Linked DNA regions of Drosophila melanogaster. The gene in region 2 interacts genetically with the main gene of each other region. Each region holds a gene or a part of one and is shown on either strand. Other genes may lie near its edges. The genes, in order: Ent2 and AdoR.

The links.
Region 1: of AdoR (region 2) and Ent2, changing one suppresses a phenotype caused by changing the other (phenotypic suppression), as found in Drosophila melanogaster (one study listed by BioGRID).

The regions. Positions count from the first base shown.
Region 1 is NT_033779.5:6,560,376-6,565,308, forward strand, and holds Ent2 (equilibrative nucleoside transporter 2), read left to right. Parts: upstream 1-1,949; 5' UTR 1,950-2,321; coding exon 2,322-3,698; 3' UTR 3,699-4,334; downstream 4,335-4,933. Other genes in the region: Trmt6 (tRNA methyltransferase 6 non-catalytic subunit), read right to left, coding at 1-141, 202-1,192; CG13766 (uncharacterized protein), read right to left, coding at 4,795-4,933.
Region 2 is NT_033777.3:30,146,398-30,151,685, reverse strand, and holds the start of AdoR (adenosine receptor), read left to right. Parts: upstream 1-2,079; 5' UTR 2,080-2,525; intron 2,526-5,288.

The DNA.
Region 1 (4,933 bases), on a different chromosome or scaffold from region 2:
AGGGTTTCACAAGAGGCAGCAGGGCTTGCAGAATGTTGGATGGGTGCTCCTTGGCGGCCACCACCAGACTGTCGAATTCGGCGTGCATCAGGGCCGTGGCCCGCTTGTTTTCCAAATGCCAGCGCGGAGGTCCCTTTGCTCCTATAACAACAGAAATAGTATTTGTACTTGTCTTGATTAGTTTACTATTGTGACCAATACCTTCTCTACCACTATTTGACTCATCCAGCTTGGGTTTCTTTGTGGTCGGTTCTATCGCCTCAGGTTGTTCCTCCGTTGGCGTCTCCAGCTGGGTTTCCTGAGGTTCGTTTTCACTGGGCTCCACAACGGGAATATCTGTGGCCTTCGCGTCCCCTCCTTGGTAAAACTCCCTTAAAACGGAATAGAGATTAACGGAAACACATCGCTGTTGCTGCTCCAGGGGTAGTTTCAGAGCTGAGAGCGCCTGCTTCTGGGGCACATTGCCCGGGTGCATGTGCACCAGGGTGCCCTCCGTGCCTGCGCCTATAGAGTTGAGCATGGCAGCCGGCAGTAGACCATTGGTACCACTCTCGTACAGCAGATAGCTGCCGAATCCACAAACGCCCGAGTAAGAAATAATTTGCGATAAAGTGTCAACGCGAATGCCCATGACCTTTTCCGAGTCTTGGCGGTAGAAGATGTCCAGCATCAGACGGATCGTTGGCTGGCGGATTTGAACGAACTCGAAATACTTTTTCTCCTTCTTTAGCAGGTACTTCTCTTGGGAGTACTCCGTTCGGTTGTGGAAAGTCTTAGAATTCTCCACCAGCTTCTCGATGATTTTGCTGGAGTCGTTGCACTCCTCACGCAGCTGCGCAATGTCCTCTGGTTTCAGGGTCTGCGCTTCTCCATCATCCCGGATGTCCCGATTATCCGCTCCACTGCTGGAGATGCCCAGAACCTCTCGCGTGCTTCTCAGCTCAGTCTCGCTGCACAGCTCCAAGGTGTGTTGTCTCTGGGCGCCCCTTTTACCCGGCTTTGTCTCTTTGACGCACATCTTGAACGTGGAGCCATAGGGTTGGTCCAAAAGAGACTTCAGCTCCAGTGTTTCTTTGCCCAATGTGGCCGTGGTGTCCAGACTGCCGAATTTTTGTAGCTTCGTATATTTCTGCCGCTGGATGACGATGTAGTCGCCCAATTGGATTCTGGGGATGTCCTCTTCGGTGGCCATGGTTGCAACTCTATGTTATAATTCTTATAAACAACGTGTTTGTCGAAAACAAACGAAAGCCGCAAATTCTATAGAGAAGAGGAAGAGAAATTCAGTGCTGGAAAACGGACAAAATCTGGTAATCTAGTCACCTGTTGCATGTGATTAGTAACGAAATTTTAAATAAAGAGCTATAATTAACAACAAATTATTTTCTTAATTTGGCAATACAAATTCATTTATGCAAACAAGAATATTTGGATTGATATTTGACTGATCTGGCAGCTCCATTACCTGTTGCTTGGCCAAATGTTTCACAATTCTAATTAAGAAATAACCATGAGTACTTATACCAAAAATTTCATTTACTTTAACTAATTAATTTTTGATCATGCAATTAGAACATTCAAGCACAATATCAATACTCCTAGTTAAAATATACACAAAAATAATATACAACAAATATGTACATACATTACCCATTTTTGAGATAAGTGGCTGTTTGCTGTTGTGCTTTAATAAGTAGAGTTGGTTGCTATGAATGCTTAAGTTGAACATGGGTGTAGCTAACAGGGATGGTGAAAGTGTGAGTAAATACCTTGAATTACTATGACTAAGTAATAATCATTGCCAAAAATACATTATTTACTGCCCATACTTACGGTCCCTCTTGGCGATTACGGAAGGGAAGGACTGCGCCCATGCGTAACGGCACCCCTCAAATCGCTTGTATCGACGCCCATAAATCATAATTTTCAACGGTGTGGCAACGCCGTTCGATCGAGTACAGCTGATACAACGCGGCGATAATCTTGTAGTGCGGTGCGGTTTTAACCTTTGATTGGATCTGTGTTGTAATCAGCGCTCTTCGGGCACTGCAGTTGCGTCTCCACGTGACCACTAGTTCCAGGCGAACCCCCCGCCACGAGGATATACCCTAATCCCGAAATCAGAGTGCTGTCGCAGGCGCAGGGAAAATCAAACCTTCCCGCCCTCCTACCGGTTTTGTGGCCACCGCGAAAATAACTGACCGCGCAAGTTTTCGGGTTTCAAGCAAACGCCTCAAGCACACGCCCCAATAACTGCTGTCGCCCGCATCAGCAGAACCAGAAAGAAATCCGAGCCAGAGCAGAACAGAAGTCGCGCAGATATGGCGGAGGCTAAATCGGAGAAGTCGCCTTTTATTGGCAAACAGCAGGCGCCGGTGACGTTAAATCCCTCGTGGGAATCCAAGTTGCCGCCCCATGATTCCAACGGCAAGGGATCAACGTCGGTGTTGGCGAAACTGGGCCTGCCAGCGCCAAAAGATAAATTCCTTATCGTGTTCTTTATATTCCTGCTGCACGGCGTGGGCACGCTGATGCCATGGAACATGTTCATCACGGCCAAGTCCTATTTCGAGGACTTCAAGTTCGGACCAAACAACACCGTGGCCACGGAAGTGAGTTACCGCACCCATTTCATGCAAAATATGGGCTTTGCCTCGCAGATTCCTAACCTGGTCTTCAACTGGCTGAACATCTTTGTCAACTTTGGCGGCGACCTGACCACCCGAATCGTCTACAGCATCATCTTCGAAATGGTCATTCTGCTGGTTACCATTATTTTGGCCATGCTCGACTCCTCGCAGTGGCCGGGCGTCTTCTTCTGGACCACCATGGTGTGCATTGTGTTGTTAAACGTGTGCAACGGCATCTACCAGAACACCATATACGGAATAGTGGCATCGTTGCCCATCAAGTACACAGGCGCCGTCGTCCTGGGCTCCAACATCAGCGGCTGCTTCACCACCGCCATGGCCTTGATATGCGGTGAGATCTTCTCGTCCAAGAGGACTTCGGCCATCTACTACTTCGTGACCGCCATCCTAGTGCTGCTGCTCTGCTTCGACACGTACTTTGCGCTGCCGCTGAACAAGTTCTTCCGGCACTACGAGACCATTAGCCGGAGCAGCGAAAAGAAATCTGATTCTAAGGCCCAGCTGAACGTGCCTTACTGGCAGATCTTCAAGAAAGCAGCGCCCCAACTATTCAACATCTTCCTCACGTTTTTCGTCACGTTGTCGGTTTTCCCGGCGATTCAGTCGAACGTGCACCGCTCCGACCCAAATTTCGTAGTAGGCCCGGACTACTTTACACTGGTCACTTGCTTCGCGACCTTTAACGTCTTCGCAATGCTGGGCAGTTTAACCACATCGTGGGTGCAATGGCCGGGTCCGAGGTTCCTCTGGGTGCCAGTGGTCTTGCGTCTGGCGTTCATCCCCTTGTTTGTCATGTGCAACTACGTTCCGCCGGACTCGGTGCGCTCATTGGCCGTATTCATCGAGAACGATTGGGTGTACTGGGGCATCGGCATCGCAATGGCCTACAGCTCCGGGTATCTCAGCTCTCTGGGCATGATGTACGCCCCGCAGACGGTGCACACCAAATACCAGACCACTGCCGGAATGTACGCAGCTGCCATGCTGATCACGGGCATCTTCTCCGGAGTGCTGTTCTCGTATCTGGGACCATTTTTCGTCGTGTAGTCTTACATTTATTAGTATGACGCTTACTAACAATTTTCATTGTTCATTGCATTGCATTATTTGACACATTTTAAATTTAGTTTTGTGCTCAATACCAGTTCCGGGACCTGGCCATTTGGTTTCGTCTTAACCAATTAATTATATTCTTTTCATTTAATAAAGGTTTTACTTTTCATTTTAATAATATGGTGTCTAATATTTCATAGTTAGACTGCACACACATAAATTTAGTTTTGCGCTCAATTCTAGTTCTAGGACTAATCAATCATTTTAACACGTTTTATTTAATAAAGTTTTTCAATTTGTATTTTATTACATCAACGAAATAATACAAAGATAGTGGTACAAATTAAAGCAACAATATACCTCGCATCCATGGGAAAATTGTGCCGACAAAAAGAGCAAAGGGAACTTGCAGAGTCTGACAATTGGGTCCTAATTGATGTACATATATCTATCAATTAGGAGGGGGTCTAACAAGTCAATGGAATATTTGGTTCGTTTTATCACAGCTTCATCCGATTGAATGAAATAACAAAGTGGGACAAATATGCACGACCAAAGCATTTAATCAATGCACTCTTTTGGTGGCCACCGAAACCGCCCAGCTGAAATTGTGGACACCCTTGTAATGATAAAAAACACTGTTAACAGAAAACGTACAAATAAAACGTTCTAATAAAATAATAAATGTGCAGATAACGGCCTTATACAAAACTAATTTAATTAATTTCAAATTGGCAGAAAGGTTACAAAAACTGGATTTAAACGTTAGTAATAATTACTATATTATAATCTCCGAAATACTTTATTTTGCATCTGTGCCAAAGTTTAATGCCATCTTGCAAAGAGGCGTAAACCATTCCAAAGCCGATGGAATTGTTTGGACATGGCGCCGAAAAATATTTGGTAAACAAAAAAATAACCAAATAAACGAACCTTATCTGAGAAGACACATAATTACCGTGGGAGCAGCTAGTAGCAGATAAACATATCAGTTCCACTTGTCACTTGGGCGACGTCTAGTACCTATTTATGTATTTACAAGGGCAAAGTTAGGGGGAAGAGCCGAGGCAGAGCCCTGACCAGCTCAAGGTCATTTCTTATCTCCGCCCTGCGGATCCGACAAGAAGTACACGATCTTCAGAAGCTCATTGAACTTTGGCGTATGCCTGGGATGGCGTTTCTCAAGGCCAGCAATCTGCTCGAGGGCCACTTCCACATCCACTACATTG
Region 2 (5,288 bases):
TTAAACGTACATAACGAAAATAGGATTATTTTTGAGTGTACAATTCTTTGCAGTGTACATGTGGGCAACGACAATTATTAAACGTTTAGCACCCATGCATTTTCCATACCCCCCCCCCCCACCATTTTTCCGACTGACTGTGGAATTCATTGAATGTGCCTGCAATTTTTGGTGGGGAGGGGTTCCCCATATCGCATTTCTGCGGCTCTACATAACCGAGACCGAATGGATACGAGTGGCCAACATATGGATCTGAGCCGTTTGCCCGCTCTGCTAAAAAGTTTGAGAACTGAGTTTGTTTTGCTGATCTGTTGTTTTTATTAATGAGCTGTTGATAGTGCTGGTTAAGTCCCATTTGATAGGCATTCAAAAAATTCTATAATTATAAATCCTATAAATTGTAAATATGACTTTTTGGTCCAAGCTCGATTTCCCTGTTTTTGGTTAAAAAATAATGCGTTTTTTGGACACAACTTTGAAAATAATGGTTCAAAAGTGGAGTGGCATATCTTATTTTACTCCTAATTAACTTCCCAATCGATTAGTGTTCAAATTTGGAAACTTTAAATTTTTGCGATTTTTTGCAAAATTTGATGATGTTACCCCTTATAAAAATTCGAAAATTGACAAAAAAATTTTTTTTTCTTAATTCGAAAAAACGGGACAGGGATCGTAAGCATTGGTAATTAGCTGCACAAAACAGTAATTATTTTTACTTTACGACCATTTTCAGTCAAGAAATATTGAAAAAACCACTTGGAAACATGGATTATTTTGATCAACTAGTTTTTCTCATTTTCCATCCAAAATAATCGTTTTATTTTTACAAGGAAATTATCCATGTTAAAGATTAAATAATCATTTAAAGCGTTAAGCATTAGCTGAGACACAAACCTTTCGAAGTTTTACCGTAAGCTTACCAACGGCTGTGGTGAAGCTCTCCCGCTGTCTCTGTCACTCGCACTTCCCTGTCTCTCGCACAATTTAAATATTTCTTAAAATTCAAAAGCAATTAAAGTGCGGTCATAAATTGTGCGAGCTGACTACGCTCCGAATCGATTGCATTCAAATCTCCTTGTAAAACCCAAAATGGGCGTGCAAATTGCCAGCACGTGGACCCATAGATATGGTTCTAAAACTTACAGATCCGGGCAAAAAGAGTGCTGCTCAGTTCATTACGTATACGCCGGATTGGCTGCAGCAAGCATCGCGATTTTGTTTGCACATCTAAAGCAGTGACTATTCGCTAGACAGAAGGCAAACATCTTCGCAGGCCAGTCACGTGCACGTAAATGTCAATAAAACGATATTCCCAGTCGATGGTGATGGTCCGATATGATATTGTAGTATGGGGGCATTAATAATACCCGATGCTCGAGCAATACGATCGCACTCCGCTTGACACAGTAGCAGCCCCAACATCGGGCAATTAATATGCGGCAAACAATTTTGATGAACTGCTAACAAGCCGATGGATCGATGGGGGTTTTATGGGGGCTTCTGGTTCTATACCGGGATGACAGCCCATAAAGCAGCACAATGGCACAAATTGATTTTGGCCAAACGATTATTTCGGGGGTTGCGTGCTCTTGGGCACATCCGCATCGAAAAGTAGTACCCCTCCGAAGCCAAGGATCAACCAGCTGGGCCATCAATATCAATGAGCGGATGCCGATTGATTGGCAGACCCGTCGATTCTTTATTGGTCCGTCTAAGAAAATACATATTGCCCATCGCGGTTTACGTCTCAATTATATTTGAGTGCCATTGAAAGTGTAAAGAACGTTCACAAACGGCGGCCAGAAATAGCGAGCGGAATCTCGGCGACAGCCACAAATCATAGCTATAAAGAAAAGAGCCAGCATATTTCGTTTACGATTATATCCGGACGGAGGCCAAGCCGTAGAACTGCAACTCTCCGCGCTTTTCCAAGCACTCAACAGGCGTCCGCAGCTCGCAGTCCGCAGCTCGGGGGCTCGTCCACTTTTCCCGAAGTCCCCCAGTTGGGTTACCCGATTCGGAAATCCCGAGCCCGAATCCCAACTGCTTGGGCTTGCTATCCGTGCGATTCATTCGCGCATTTTGCCGTCGAGCGTTGGCCAGCGCGGTGGATATTTCGCATATCCGCAGTGGAGAATCGCATATCGCAGCGGTATCAAGTTTTAAAATTCAGTTTCGAATGCCATAAAAAATAAATAATAAAATTAATAAACAAATCCGGTGCGTGTGTGCCTGTGTCTGTGCGGTTCCGTCTCAATGAAATGCCAAACTAAATAAGCTTGGAAAAGTTTTCCATCCAGTTTTTATGGCAACCCAGCGAGGCCCGAAAGAGTGTCAATTGAATTAGCGTCTCGGGCTATAAGAAAATAATACAGAGCCAAAGAGAGATTATCAAGACGCAACAGGTGATTGGATCGCGGATTTATGAATTCGCAAAGGTGTTTGTTTCTCTGATATATAAAACCACCTGTGGCTCCTCCTTCTAGTTTTAGGACCACTCTCTGGAAATCCAACTTCGATTCCAGGTAACTACACTAATTACCCCCAAAGTTTACTTTAATTTATATATAGTGCTAGTGCAAACAAACGAAAAAAGAACATATGTTAGAGAGCCGAAAAAGAAAATCGATAAAATTCGGACTCAGCATTATGTTTATGCTAACCGCAAAGGCAACTAAATATTTGCTTTTCGCAGCGGGGAAAGTCTTCACCTGTTGCACGTATCGCATGTCCTGTTGATTGGCTAATTGATAACATCCAGTTCCGGTCATCACCATCAGCCATATATCAATCCATCCGCACATCCATGCGGATCCCTCCATATATCCATTCGCATGTCCACCCACCCTTGACCCTGTCAGCGGGCAGCCCATTAAATCATCCCGAGCAAACAAATTAGCGGAACGAGTGCATCAATAAACAAAGTTCACCTGTTGCCCGCTTACTGCCGCGTAGCGAAAAGAAAAGACATCTGCAGTTTGCATTAGCGATACATCTTGTATCTTTTGGATGCCAGCCTCCTACTTATGGCGGATTTTTTGGAATTGCACTCGATGGGCAGGGAAATAAAGCAAACTATGGCGAAATGAACCGAGCAGGGCGAGTGAACATCAAAAGCGTTCGGTTCGGTTTGGATGGGATGGTATGGCACGGGCATAGGTGGAGAAGGTGGGGTGTATCTATCTATCTATCAGATGCACACGGCGCTTGTAACCGCAATTCGCATGCCACCGCCCACCGCCCACCGCCTACCGCCCGTCCTTCGACCTCCTCAAGTCGCCAGTGCTCTTGATTACGCCTTTGTGTATAAATTAATTAAATTAAAAGTTTCCGGTTAAGCCTCCGAACGCCGACAAACGCGGCGCTCGAACGCATTGCATTCGAAAGTGCAGAAATGTCCGATGCACTCGGTTCAGTCATTTCGACTTCGAGGAGCATTCGATGATTATCGCACCCTTTCGATTCTGCTGATAAAAGTGAAGAAATATTTATGCTTATATTTGAAGCATGAATGTGCAGCATTTGTGTCAACAAGTTGGCCGGGGTTTCCCCGTTTCAGCACTCACAATGCAATTGCAATGGCCTCTTATCACAAACTTAGGCCGATCCAATGAACTCAGTTTCCATGTTCATACTGCAAAGTTACAAAAGGCGCTGTTATAAGTGTGATAAAGAGATAAATATAGTAAATTATGCTGCTGAGGAAAGGCTATAGACCCATGTGGAAAATGGTGATAACATCGAAATAAATAGGTAAAACAATTGCAATGGATGATAAAGAGAAGCCATATACAAAGCAGGCTGTAAACTAGTCATAACAACACATTTCATGTGGAAATTATTTTTATAATTTCCTTTTAAAATATACATTAGTAATAATGATTTACTTCATGGCATTTCATTAGTTTAAAAAATAATTTGTCATAGTCATCGCAAATGATCTCCCAAAAGTACATCATTTATCTTTCTGTGTAACTGAGTGGCTATTGCAGGCACGTTTCCGAGGCCCAAGGCTCCCTGTAGCTACCTCATTTGGACGGCAATCCTTTTCCTGGGAAAGCCCTTCATCCCGCTGGGAAACGTGTGCAGCGAGTCGAGAAAGTCGAACCCAGAGATGGATTCATTAGGCTGCTCCTGGCACCGCCTGACACCCCATCTTCGAGCTGGTCCATTCCAATTGCTTCTATAAATATTCGGGCAGACACATCAACAACCTCCCAATCGCAAACCGAACGTCAGCACTTGCCAAAATCCAAGAGCGCGACGCGGGCGATTTCCAAACAAAGTCAACATCTCGGCCGAATCTGATTTCGTTTCGATTATACGAATTTAAAGTAAGTCACGCAGCGATTTTAGCAGTTCCCCTGGCCTGCAAATCGGGAAGCTAGGAGGTACATAAACATAAGTGGGTTGCGGTTGGGAATTAGCATCCAATTAGAAGATAATCGCGCGCTAACTGGCCGCGTAAACTTTTCGCGAAGAGATGGCCAAAAAAAAAAAAAGTGTCACAGATTTACGCTGCTTTGGCCACGCCCTAACCCTGTAATAGCGCCCACACCTCCCACACCTAATAGCGCCCACCAAAGTGCCCTTGAGTGCCTGCAGTTAATGTGCAGTCGACCTTCACGCCAACTAAAGACCAATTGTCAATATTTTGACAGCCATCGCCATCAAAAGGCAAAGCGGACTGCGAGTTCAGCGGGAATGGAAGTGGGTTCGATGATGAATATGTTGGCGACATATTGCAAATCCCAGTGGATGGTTTCGACCCACGTGTCCGGGGCGGTGGGCGGTGGGCGTGGCACACCTAATGTTGACATCACTTGGCCATTTAATGACTGCCTTTATGGGGGCTTTTACAACCTGATGATAAAGCGCCAGAGCGATGTGAACCCAACTGAACTGGAGAAAAGTGAGTCGCCCTTGAGTGGACTCCAATTGACGGCCAATTTGGCGCGGCTTTTTCAGCCCGTGCTCGCTGCGAGAGAGAAAAGTAATTCATTCACTACTTAACTAACAGATATGGTTTCTCTTTCATTCCGAGCAAAAATACGTTAAAAGGATTCATTTCCACTTTTATATGATCCTGCCAAAAATGCGTGTATGTTATGTTAAAACACTTTACTCTTCTCCTGAGTATTTTTTTCTCTGTGGAAAGACATACTTGTATGTTTATTGTGTTCTTTCAGTGTGAGCATTTATATTGGCTACCCAATCACCAGACCAGACCAGACCCTTCCATCCGGCAATCGCCATCGCATTGTCCTCGTTTTGTCCCCGGTCATAAG